3 linked regions of the Notamacropus eugenii genome follow. The protein of the gene in region 3 interacts with the protein of the main gene of each other region in a biochemical or structural test. Links are inferred from orthologs where the notes say so. Each region holds a gene or a part of one and is shown on either strand. Other genes may lie near its edges. The genes, in order: RHNO1, RAD9A and TOPBP1.

Region 1 (3,743 bases), about 160 Mb from region 3:
ACCATGTCATAGGTATTTGGTAAGATGACCTGGGCCTCCCTTGAGCTCTTCCTACCTCTTAATTCTTGGGTCTAAGTTCTCACCTCTTTAAGTTCCTGCAATTTTATCTTGTCTCCATCTCTCTTAAGTTTGACCCTTTACTGCCATCCCCTCCCCCCAAAACCTTCAAATCCTGCTTCCTTTTTTTCAGTATATCCTTTCCCAAAAGCAAGTCTTCCTGCTCTCTCCCACTCCTAACACTAGCTCAGTTATGTATTTGACTGCACCTACACGGCCCAGGGTTAAAACATTAAAGGGGATACATAACAGAGGAAACACAATTTAGCTCTCACCTTCAAGGAATGTCAAATTTAATAATGCACATTTACCAGTAATGATAATACAGGGTCTAAGGTGCATAATAAACATTAAACAAAACGCTGAGTGGTTTCACCATCCAAGGTCCTTTGCAAAAAGCCTTTCACTACCCCACACTGAACAGAGGAGGGCACGACACCGCCAGCAAGGGGGGTCGAGAGATTCCTGGGGTTACAGATTGGGTCCCTGGGCCCAACCTGCTGCTGAATTCCGCAGGAGGCTGGGGCTGCACCGGCATTATGCGGCCGGGCCGTGATCCGGCCCGCAGTGGAGGGGGCCCCGGTGGCCCGTCCCGAGGTGCTGTCAGGTCCGGCCGCACCGTCTGCAGCCGCGGCACCTCGAGGACTCCCTCCTGCGGGTCACTCACTCCCTGATCAAGACTCCGAGGTCGGGGCCCGGCGGTCGCTGCGGAGCTGGGATCCAAGCTCCGGCCCGCGACCCTCTCTCCGGGGCTCCCCGCGTCGGCCCAGGAGCTGGGCATTGGAGGGGGCCCATTTTAAGGAGGACGGCTGCGGAGACCTGCTCCTTTCCCGGTCCGGGGCTCCCACCCCGCCCGGGCTCTCTAGGGCCCTCCCGGGGAGGGAGGCAGGCTGGGGACCCCCGCCACCCGAGACTCTCACCTCAGCACTGCGGCCGCTGTCTCCACCACCGCCCCAAGGTAGGCCTGCAGGGGTCGGGTTTCCCTTCAGCCTCAGCCCGCCGGGGCTGAGCCAGGGTCCAGGAGCAGGCCCAGGGCCGCTAGGGGCCGGGTCGGCCAGGTCCCCGGCCGCGGGGGGGAGGGGTGGGGTCGCCGGGAGGGGGGGAGGGGGAGGAGGGGGATAAGGGGCTTTCAGTTTGTTCCGCGGTTTGAAATTGGCGCCGGCGGAGCGTTGCCGGTCACGTGACGCGGGCGCCGCCAATCGGGACCGAGCGTCGTTTAAGCATTCGGGGCCGGAACTCTGCCCGGCCTGTCAAGGGGCCGGGGCCTGGGGGCAGAGGGGCCGGAGCCTCCCGAGTGAGGGAGGGGGAGGACGAGGGAAGGGGCCGGATACAGCTGAGCCGGGCAGCTGAGAGTGGGTCGGGCGGACTTCCGGGGCTGGCTGAGGGGGCAGGGACGCGGGGAGGCGGCGCCAGGAGTCCGCTCCCCCGGAACCCCCTTTCTCATGCTCGAGCTTTTGTTCCAGGTGCTTTCTTCCTTGGAGGACTTGCACTCACCCAGTGTAAGTGACCCCACTGCCTCCCACCCCCACCCCTTCTCAGAGCAGCACCTCCCTTTTCCTGCAGCGCTGAGCCTGGTACATAGTAGGCGCCTAATCTATGCTGTTGCCTTGAGTCCCTCCTGCATTTTCAGGTTGGTGGTTCTGGGACGTAAATAGCAGCCTCCCTTTCCCGCTGAGAGCGATGATTAGTCTGGCCCAGCGTGGTGGGCTTTGCTGCCCCGGGCAGTGATCGGTTTTCTCTGTCTGCTTGTTTTGTTGTCTGATCTCTAGGCATGGGTGAGGATCCTTGCTCATCTCCCCGACGTATTTCCCCAGGCAACATGAGGCTACTCACGGTCCTTCCCTCCTCGACTGTTGATGCCTCCCAGGAAGAAACCCAAAAGTCAGTCCCGGAAACCACAACTGGCATTCCGAGAGGGGCCTCTGGAGGGTCCCATGCATCCCTATGGATCCCCACAGCCAGCCGCAGCCCTCCCAAGGCATGCTCGGGTCAAACCAGTAGATCACCAGACCATCACCTCTTGGGTAGGACCAGCGAGTTCTTACACTGGGTGCTTTGGGTACGAGGTGACTCATATTGTGGGTACTGTCTTTGACCCACATCAGGAGGAAGGTCACTCACCCACTTAGTGGTACACAGGAGCAAGAGGCCCTAATTCCTAAACCATAACTCCTCAACCAACTGCTCTTCCCCTAAGTTGTAAAAATGGGCAGTTGCTGAGAGAAGAGCTAGATAACTGGGGGCTGATCAGGAAATAGCCAATCAGAGGGAGAATTGTTGACATTTAGACTGGCTTTACTTTGCCCTGCTATTCTTTTTAAAGAGCAGTGACTACAGTGGGGAATTTTGGGACATTGTGTTCATTTTCTTGCTGGAAGGTCTCATCCTTCCCTCCCTACCGTTCATTCATCCCCCTCCCCCCCCCCCCAAAAGACTAAAGAGTAGTCTGAAGATTCAGTAATAATGTGCTTTTGCTTTGGTGTTCCCTTGTTACTGTTGACCTTTAGTGGCTGGCCTGATAAATCAAGACCTTACCTACACCAATTAGCCAATAATACCTTCAGGAACACTTGAACCCACCTTTTTCCTTTTCTCTCTCCCAACCACTGATTCAGTCAATCAGCAGGCATTTGTTAATAGCTTTTATTAAGTGACAGGCACAGGGGATACAAATACAATTAATTGAACAATTCCTATTTGAGAAGTTGTTTATATTCCAAAAGATAAGACAATATGTACATACATATATGTGTTCATATCTTTCTAAACATACATATGCATTCACATGTATGGATATGTAGAATACAAAGTAGTTAAAGACTAGTAGTTTAGTAGGGAGGGCATTAGCATTAGTAGGGGGATTTGTACATGTACAAGGTGGTGCTTGGGCTGTGTCTTAAAAGAAGAGAGATTCTAAGAGAACAGATATGAAGAGGAATTACATTCAAGGCATGGGGGCAGCCATGGAAAAGCATAGAGATAGGAGATTGTCTTGTGTGAGGAACAGAGGAAAGGTCAGTTTTGACTGGACTGTGGGAGGGGGAGTGTTCACTGAGGCTGGAAAGATAGTTTGGGTTCAGGTTGTGAATGGCTTTAAAAGGTAAAGTTAATATTTTATCTTAGGGGCCATAGGGACTTGCTAGATAGAGTTTACTGAGTAGGAGAGTGACAAGGACAGAAACAAGATTCTGAGCATTCTTAAAAATGCAGGGTCTGATGATAAAAGTAGCGGCATGATATAGAGAAGAGAAATGTATTTTTCTTTGGTCCCAGATACTGTATGTTCTTCTTTAGATACATTGTTTACTATCTAATAGCCTGCTATAAAGTAACACCACACACTGGAAAGTTTTAACATTCTGAAGACTCCAGCTGAAAGAGTTTTGGATTATGTTGTGAGAAAGAAGTAGAAGTTAAGAGCAGGGGCCAATTTTGGACTTCAGCTTCTGCTTAAAGAGTGCTTTAAAAAATGACTTGTTAGAAGTTGTTGGAAAAGCAATAATCCATACTCCAGGAATAGGGTAGATACCTAATAAAAATAACTCACAAAGTTTTATATAGTGTTTTTCTCATAAAAATCCTATAACTTCATAGCAGGTTTCAAACCCAAAGCTCCTGATTCCAAGTCTGGTGCTCATGCCTGTAGAAAATGAGCTCATTTTAATGTGGATAGGCTCTCATTTTAG
Region 2 (3,743 bases), on a different chromosome or scaffold from region 3:
GCACCAGACCTGGCTAATGGGTCCTCAGGAGTGCTTATAGACCCAACTCGACTCGACCCGGAGGATCGCTGCTCTGGATGGTGCCCCTACTCTAAGTACCTGTTGGTCCTTCCCTGGCTGTTCCGCTTCGCCTAAGGTGAGCAGGCGGCTGAATGGGATTCTCTGGATCCCGGCTCCGCTCCTGCTCCGCCGGGGCCATCCCACCCCTGGGCTGCAGAGCTTGACTGGACAAACTCAGCCAAGGAGCCCCCTGCGGTGTCTTCTCTCCCCAGCCCCCTCCCTGCACCGGGGCCGCCGCCCCGCCCCCCCGGGAGTGCGAGTGCCCCTTGCTGGAGACACAGAGAGGTGTCCATCAAGGTCCCCTGCTGTGCGCACAGGCACTCTTGGCAAGAACAAACAAGCGGCCTTCCCCGAGGGGCGATCGCCCTGCGTGCACTCGCTCGCTCTTTGCACAAGTGTTCATTTATGGAGCACCTACTGCACGCAGGCACTGGGCTGGGGCGGGGTGGGCTGGGCCGCCCCCGCCCCCCGCCCCCCGCAAAGGAGAACGATCTACAACGAGCAAGGATAACGTTTTTGCGAAAAAGCGCTCAGAAAGGCAGGGAACTCCGATCGCAGCCTTTCCCAGGGCCCGGGCTGCGTCTCTTCCCACGTTACAGCCGCAGTTTCTGAAGCTGCACAGCGGGCACCGGCCTGGGGCTCCGGCCTTTGAGAGAGTAGGCATAGACCTCCAAAGGCAACGGAGGCGTCTGCGCACGCGCCTCCCGGGGCGGGGCTGTCCTCAGGCCACACCCCTCAAGCGGGAGGGGCCAGGGCGGTTTCGTCACGTGACACGAAGGGACCGGCCGAGGTCCTGTCACCTGGTGCAGGCCGCGGCACGGATAGGCTGGCTTTCCGCCCACGTGACGGAGGTGCCTTGCGTCGGTCACTCTAGGTCCAATGAGAGGGCGAGGCGGGCCGGGGCCGGCACCCGGGCCCAGCGCGCGGGAAGGAAGCCGAGCCTGGGTGCTGGGACCGGCCGGCCCGAGAGCGGGTGGCGGGGGAAGGCCGGGCCGGACCGGGAGACATGAAGTGCCTCGTGACGGGAGGAAATGTGCGGGGTGAGTGTGGGGCGAGGGCCGGGGCCAGGGGTCGGAGGTCACGGCCTGTGCCCTCTGACCTCCCTCCCCTAACGCAGTGCTGGGTAAGGCCGCGCACTCGCTGTCGCGCATCGGAGACGAGCTGTACATGGAGCCGCTGGAGGACGGGGTGAGGCGGCGCCGGCCAAGCGGCGGGGTGGGGGTGGGCTGGGCGCGCTGGCCTCCGCCCTCTGACCTCCGCCCCCTGATCTCCGCCCCCAGCTGTCGCTGCGCACGGTGAACGCGTCGCGCTCGGCCTTCGCGTGCTTCCTCTTCGCCCCGCTCTTCTTCCAGCACTACCAGGCGGCCCGGCCCCCGCAGGCGCAGCCACCGCGCTGCAAGGTCCTCATGAAGGTGGGGGCGCGGGGCGGGCCGGGAGGACGGGGCGGGGGCAGGGCGCGCCTGCTGCCGCGCTGATGGCCGCGCCATGCCCCCCGCCAGTCCTTCCTGTCCGTGTTCCGCTCGCTGGCGGCGCTGGAGAAGACAGTGGAGCGCTGCTGCATCGCCCTGAGCCCCGAGAGCAGCCGCCTGGTCATCCAGCTGCACTGCAAGCACGGTGGGGGCGGGGCCGGCAGGGGCGGGGCCGGGGGGGGGGGCGCCGTGTCCCCGCCCCACTCACCTCGGTGCGTGCCTGCGCCCCCCCAGGTGTGACCAAGACCCACAACCTGTCCTTCCAGGAGTGTGAGTCCCTCCAGGCCATCTTCGACCCCGCCAGGTGTCCACATGTGCTGCGCGCCCCCGCCCGGTGAGCTGGGGACATGCGTGGTCGCTCACGGGCACAGACCCCCCACCCCAGAATGGAGGACCTCCCCCATTAGTACACCGGGCGGGCTGGGCAGGGTCCTTGGGCTGTGCTGAGTGGCCTCGCCCCTCGTGCTCTGGGCAGGGTGTTGGTGGAGGCCGTGGCGCCCTTCTCCCCGGCGCTCTCGGAGGTGACGCTGGGCGTGAGCCGGGGCCGCAGGGTTGTCTTCCGGAGCTACCTGGAGGAGGACACAGGTGAGGGGGGACCTGGGGGGGAGGGATGGGGGTCCTCCAGGGGCTGGAGGGGGGTTGGGATAGAGGCCCGCTTCCTCCCCCAGATGCCGCCAAGGCCATGATGACCGAGATGAGCCTCAGTGAGGACGAATTCCAGCAGCTGCAGGCACAGGAGGGAGCGTCCATCACCTTCTGCCTCAAGGAGTTCCGGGTGAGGCGGCTCTCCCCTGTGCTGTGACCCCAGCCTGATCGGCCCTGCCCTAGCACCAGCCCTGCCCTAGCCCCGCTCTGCCCAGCCCTGCACCAGCTCTGCCCTAGCCAGGCTCTGCCCAGCCCCACTGACATCCGGATCTGCTCTTTCAGGGTCTCCTGAGTTTTGCGGAGTCTGCCAACCTGCCCCTCAACATCCACTTTGATCTTCCTGGAAGGTATAAGATGGGCAGGAAGTGGGACCTGCTCTGGGGTCTCTGCCCCCTCCCACTCTTGCCAAGTGGCCAAGAGTGGTTCTTGTCCCTCCCCACCAGGCCGGCCATCTTCATCATTGAGGATTCGCTGCTGGACGGTCACTTTGTCCTGGCTACCCTCTCTGAGCCTGACCTCTGCCCTCAGGAACCTTGTCCACCCCAGGAGGGGGCTCACAGGTGAGGGGGCGCTCCACAGCATTCTTTTCCCCCCTCCTCTTGCCCTTCTGGTCCAGCTCCTCTCCCCCACCTTCCCCAAGACCTCCTACCTCCAGGTCTTGCCCTCCTCCTAAGTTCAGTTAAGGCTTGGTGACATTGTGGGTGGGGTGCCTTTCAGCCTGCCCCCTCTTCTGCTGGAAAACTGGCCACACACCCTGTCCCCAGCTCTGGGCCTTTCTCCCTTAGCACGACACACCTGGATGACTTTGCTAACGATGACATTGACTCTTACATGATCGCTATGGAGACTACTGTGTGTGATGGGGCACTGGTGGCCCCCCGGACCCCTTCCCCTGTGTCAGAGGAAGAGGAGGCAGAGCCCAATGTGGTGCCTGGAACCCCTCCCCTGAAAAAGGTGAACAAATGGTCCCTTGTCTGCTCCCTGTGGGGTGTGGGGAGATGGTGCGTTCTGCCCTGGGTTTGTGGGCTGGCTTGGTGGCGGCCTGTACTCAGTGCTGCTTTTCTCTCTGCTTCTAGTTCCGTTCCTTGTTCTTTGGTTCAGTGTTGGCCCCAACAGAACCTCCCTCTGAGCCCAACCCGGTACTAGCAGAAGACAGTGAGGGAGAGGGCTGATTGGCTCTCAGGGACAGCAGCAGCTGGGCCACCTCACATTCTCAGGAGCAGCGTCTGGCGAGTCTGCTCCTCTGCCTGCTTTGTGTCAGAAAAGACTTGAACTGTGCTTGAGGAGGATGGGGGTCTCTATGGAGATGGAAGAACCTGGTCACTTCCACCCTGGGCCCGAAGCGGACGCTGGCTCTGCTTCTGCTCTGGCCACCACAGCCAACCCCTCCTTCCTCAATAAAGATTCCCAATCCTGAAGCAGACATGCGTCATTCTGGACAAAAGGCAGGCTAATAGGCCAGTGAGAATCCAGCTTTGACATTTATTCAAAAAAGACCAGATAAGGGCACAGAGCAGCTGAGCCCAGATGGGACTCAAGCTTTCTTCCCTGCTCCGAGGGGCCTTCCTT
Region 3 (3,743 bases):
GCAATAAGATGAGTTACTGATATACTTAAGTCTCTGCAAACTCGTCCGCCCATCATTTGTACATATTTATGAACTTCTTTCTGGAGTGAAAAAGGAAGAGGTAAGAAATATGTTAATCTATAATCATTGTTACCCGTTTTCTAAAGCATTCACTACATTATGTCCACAACAAATTCATATTCATTTAATCACTACAGCTGTGCTATGTTTATGATTTATTTATATATGAATATATAAATGCACAATGATGCAACAATTAAGATGAACAATTTACAAAGAAATACGAAGATCTTCAAATGGTTAATGGCTCTACTGAAAGACACTAAAAGCACAATTCACTAAGTTGTTTTTTTTTTCATTTAAAACCCTAACGCTAACCAACTTTATAGAGAGCACTTAGAACAACATAACAAGGAGAGAAACAATGTTCTGGAATGAGGACTCATAGTCATTTTGTTACAGTGACTGGGACAAGACCAGGGCATCTATGATCTGAAGAAGGATGAAGCAGGTATCAGAAATTATGGAGCATGAAACTGCAGTCCTGTGGCTAGAGCAGCTGAGGTTACAAATTGTCTGCATGATATTAATATGTAGGGCTTTGGTTATATTGCATTTATAACATTATTATGAAACATCATTGGTTAGGATGACTTGTGCTAGGTACAACTCAATTTGAAGATCACCTCTTATACTGCTAGGTCCTAACCCTCTACTATATCTGTTAACTGTGTCACACAAAATAGCCAAAGGAAAACATCTGCTCTCATGTGAAATAAAATTCGAAACATTTCACAGTACAGCTTAACCAACAAAAAAAATTCATATAAAACATACATATCGATGTTATCATCCTACTAAAACATCTTACCCTTGTTTCTTTGTCAAGGCTTGTACAAGAAATAGTTACGTCTGCCATAATCATATTATAGACTGGATACTCTGCTTTTGGAACACATCGTTGGTGCTGCATACAAAATATGACTACTTGTGGGCCGACAATTCTACAGCCAAGCTACAGAACAGAAAACACAAGGTTTATGTTGTTTGAGTAGCGAAACAAAGACGATTTTCCTTCACTTGTCTTCCCTTCTGCCAACCACTTCACCAGCCTTCGTGCCTATTTCTCCAAGGCCAGTTCTTCCAGCAGCGTGAGCATCCATGCACTAGGACACACCGCAGATCTGTCATTCCCGGGGATCCCGCGGCCCTCCCGTTTCCTCGTGCATCACACCCAGACGCGGTCACTTAACGCACCTTTTTGAGGTGCTCGAACACGGCGCCGCTGAAGGGGTCGCAGATGTACAGCGATCGGTCCTTCTCCGTCACGCTCAAGGCCTCCTCCTCGGCCACGGTCTGGAGATACTCTTCCGACTGGAATTCCTTCATAGACTGTTTGAAAGGCGAAGCGAGAGCGCACGTCAATCATTCAGAGGAAGGCCCCAAGCAGGCCGCGCTGCGCTTCGGGAACGTTTCGGCAGCGGACCAGAAATGCTGCCCAGGAGCACGGAGCCGGGCCGAGCCGGGCCGGGCCGAGCCGGAGCCGAACCGGGCCGAGCCGGAGCCGGAGCCGGAGCCGGGGCCGGGGCCCGCGCCGCTCACAAACCCGCTTCTACGCGGCGGAGACGTTGGGGTCCGCCCGCCCCCCCACGGCCCATCCACTCACCCCAAGCGCGGTAAAGAAACCCTCCGAGTTCCCGGGCGCCTTCACAAACTTCACGTAGTACGGCTCTCGGTCACTTTCCGACATGTCGACCTAAGACCAGAAGGCGCCGTCAGCACGGGGCCGCGGGCCCGGAGGCCGAGCGGCAGCAGGCCCGAGGGCGGGCCCGGAGCTCCGGAGGGGAGGGGGCGGGGCCGCCCCGGCCCCCGACCCGCAGCGCGGGCCCCGCAGGCGCCTCAGGGCATTCGGCCTCGAACCCGGCTCGGCTGCCCGGCTGACAGGACCCCCCCCCTTCCCCCCCCCCCCGCCGCCGCGGCCCGGGGCGGCCACACAACGGTCGCCCCCAACGCCGCCCGTCGCCCTCACTCACCGCCCCGGGGCTCCGACGTTCTGAGGCGGCGGCGGCTGCAGTCCGGGGCGAGCGTCGGGAGTGAGGCGGCCGACGCGGCGTGAGGAAAGGCCGAGCGCGCGCCGGGGGCGGGAGGGGGGGAGGGGAGGGGGAGGGGGTCGAGCGGGCTCGGAGCCGCACCACCAAGTTTCGCGCCAACCCGAGGGCTTCCCCTTCCGCCACGGGGCGGAAGTGACGCCGCGGGGCCGTGCGGAAGGGGAGGAGACACTTCCTGTCGCGGCTGGATCTAGTTGTCCATCCGTAGCCTTCCGCACCGGGCGGAAGCGATGCGATTGACAGCTTCCGGGAAGGGGAAAGGATCCGGCCTTGGCCTCTTTCTTGGGTTCCTCTTCCACCTTGGGCTTCTACTCCGGACCCTGGCCTAGCCCGGAGTGTAGGAAGCAGCCATGGTAGTCACCGAGTCTGGAAGGGCCGCGGAGGGCTTTGCAGAGACGCCGTCCAGGGATCCGGAGCCACCCCCGGCGACTTTCCCCTCTGGGCCGCTCTCCCTGTGGACCAAAGACCGGGCCTGGAGCTCGGCCGGAGCAGAGGCGGCGCCTGCTTCCGGGAGCTCCTCCCTCCTGCCCTCGGGCCCCCGGACTCCCGGGCCCCCGCTAATAAGTGGAACCCGGAACCGTGCGCCCTAGGGGGCACCCGTTAATATGTGTGAGTAGGAGCTGAAGGGGTGCATACCTACTCGGAATCCAGCAGCATGTGGGGAGAGGCCTGGAAATGATAGGAAAGTACCCCAGAGCAGCAGCGTGCAGATGCAGGCCGTAAACCAGACTTGTGACGGGCCCGGCTCCGAGGGCCCTCCATGACTCTCCACGGCCAGGTGAAACTTCTTTAGACTTGCAGAGGTTCTAGTTGCATCCAAGAAAAAAGAAGCAGTTAGAATTTACAGATGCTGGAAAGGGAAAGAAAGATGTATCATTTCTAACTACGCAAGCTTTACACAGAGCTAGTGTAAGATATTTAACCAAAGATACTGTAAGAAGAGGAAGGAGGATTGTATGGCAAAAGATGACAAAAGGAGAGTGACTTCAATTCGAGTTGTAAATCATTCAGCAAGTACTGAGACTGGTTTGGAAGTTACAAGTAGCAACGATGATCTTAAAACTGAGCCAGAAAATCTTTTTATCTCTACCCAGTGAATTGTCTTGAATTAAATTATTCAGTCTCAGCTAATTCCATACTCTAAGAAAAACTCCAGCAGATTTTCCTTGTAAAATTAAACGGTCATGCTGGAGCCAGATAAAAAGAAAGCTGAAGATTTACAATGAAGGAAACCTACAGTAGAGTGGGGGGCCAGGACTTAAAATTTAAAGAGGTGTGCCCTGGGTTTTAGCTGAGTGGTACAGGGGATAGAGCACAGGACTTGGAATCAAGAAGATGAATTACAGCCTTGCCTGAGACATTGGGTTGCAAGTCACTTAACCTCTGTGTACCCAAATTTCCTCCTCTGTAAAAGGGGGAAGAAAACAAGAGGATCTACTTAACAAGGGTTGTTGTGGATCTGATGTAACTACATGTAACATATGTAAAGCACTATATGAATGCTATTATTATCAGTAATATAGTTGAGAGCAAGCTTTAGAGTATAGCTTGCCCACCACACTTCCTTGACAAAGATCTAAAATACTCACCACACCTGATTCTGATCAAGAAAGCAAAGAAAGTCATACTCAGTCA

The links.
Region 1: the proteins of TOPBP1 (region 3) and RHNO1 form a complex in vitro, tested with the Homo sapiens proteins (2 studies listed by BioGRID). The link is inferred for Notamacropus eugenii from reciprocal best matches to the Homo sapiens genes TOPBP1 and RHNO1.
Region 2: the proteins of TOPBP1 (region 3) and RAD9A form a complex in vitro, tested with the Homo sapiens proteins (4 studies listed by BioGRID). The link is inferred for Notamacropus eugenii from reciprocal best matches to the Homo sapiens genes TOPBP1 and RAD9A.

The regions. Positions count from the first base shown.
Region 1 is NC_092874.1:202,999,615-203,003,357, reverse strand, and holds the start of RHNO1 (RAD9, HUS1, RAD1-interacting nuclear orphan protein 1), read left to right. Parts: upstream 1-1,286; 5' UTR 1,287-1,499; coding exon of another isoform or gene 1,500-1,556; intron 1,557-1,600; exon of another isoform or gene 1,601-1,687; intron 1,688-1,826; 5' UTR 1,827-1,913; coding exon 1,914-2,081; intron 2,082-3,743. UniProt on the Homo sapiens protein: Involved in microhomology-mediated end-joining (MMEJ) DNA repair by promoting recruitment of polymerase theta (POLQ) to DNA damage sites during mitosis.
Region 2 is NC_092873.1:19,857,305-19,861,047, forward strand, and holds RAD9A (cell cycle checkpoint control protein RAD9A), read left to right. Parts: upstream 1-944; 5' UTR 945-1,066; coding exon 1,067-1,100; intron 1,101-1,177; coding exon 1,178-1,248; intron 1,249-1,340; coding exon 1,341-1,472; intron 1,473-1,559; coding exon 1,560-1,674; intron 1,675-1,763; coding exon 1,764-1,863; intron 1,864-2,004; coding exon 2,005-2,114; intron 2,115-2,197; coding exon 2,198-2,304; intron 2,305-2,456; coding exon 2,457-2,521; intron 2,522-2,617; coding exon 2,618-2,734; intron 2,735-2,938; coding exon 2,939-3,128; intron 3,129-3,250; coding exon 3,251-3,346; 3' UTR 3,347-3,592; downstream 3,593-3,743. UniProt on the Homo sapiens protein: Component of the 9-1-1 cell-cycle checkpoint response complex that plays a major role in DNA repair. The 9-1-1 complex is recruited to DNA lesion upon damage by the RAD17-replication factor C (RFC) clamp loader complex.
Region 3 is NC_092874.1:41,878,879-41,882,621, forward strand, and holds the start of TOPBP1 (DNA topoisomerase 2-binding protein 1), read right to left. Parts: upstream 2,247-3,743; 5' UTR 2,034-2,246; intron 1,757-2,033; 5' UTR 1,751-1,756; coding exon 1,667-1,750; intron 1,393-1,666; coding exon 1,258-1,392; intron 1,016-1,257; coding exon 872-1,015; intron 81-871; coding exon 1-80. UniProt on the Homo sapiens protein: Scaffold protein that acts as a key protein-protein adapter in DNA replication and DNA repair. Composed of multiple BRCT domains, which specifically recognize and bind phosphorylated proteins, bringing proteins together into functional combinations.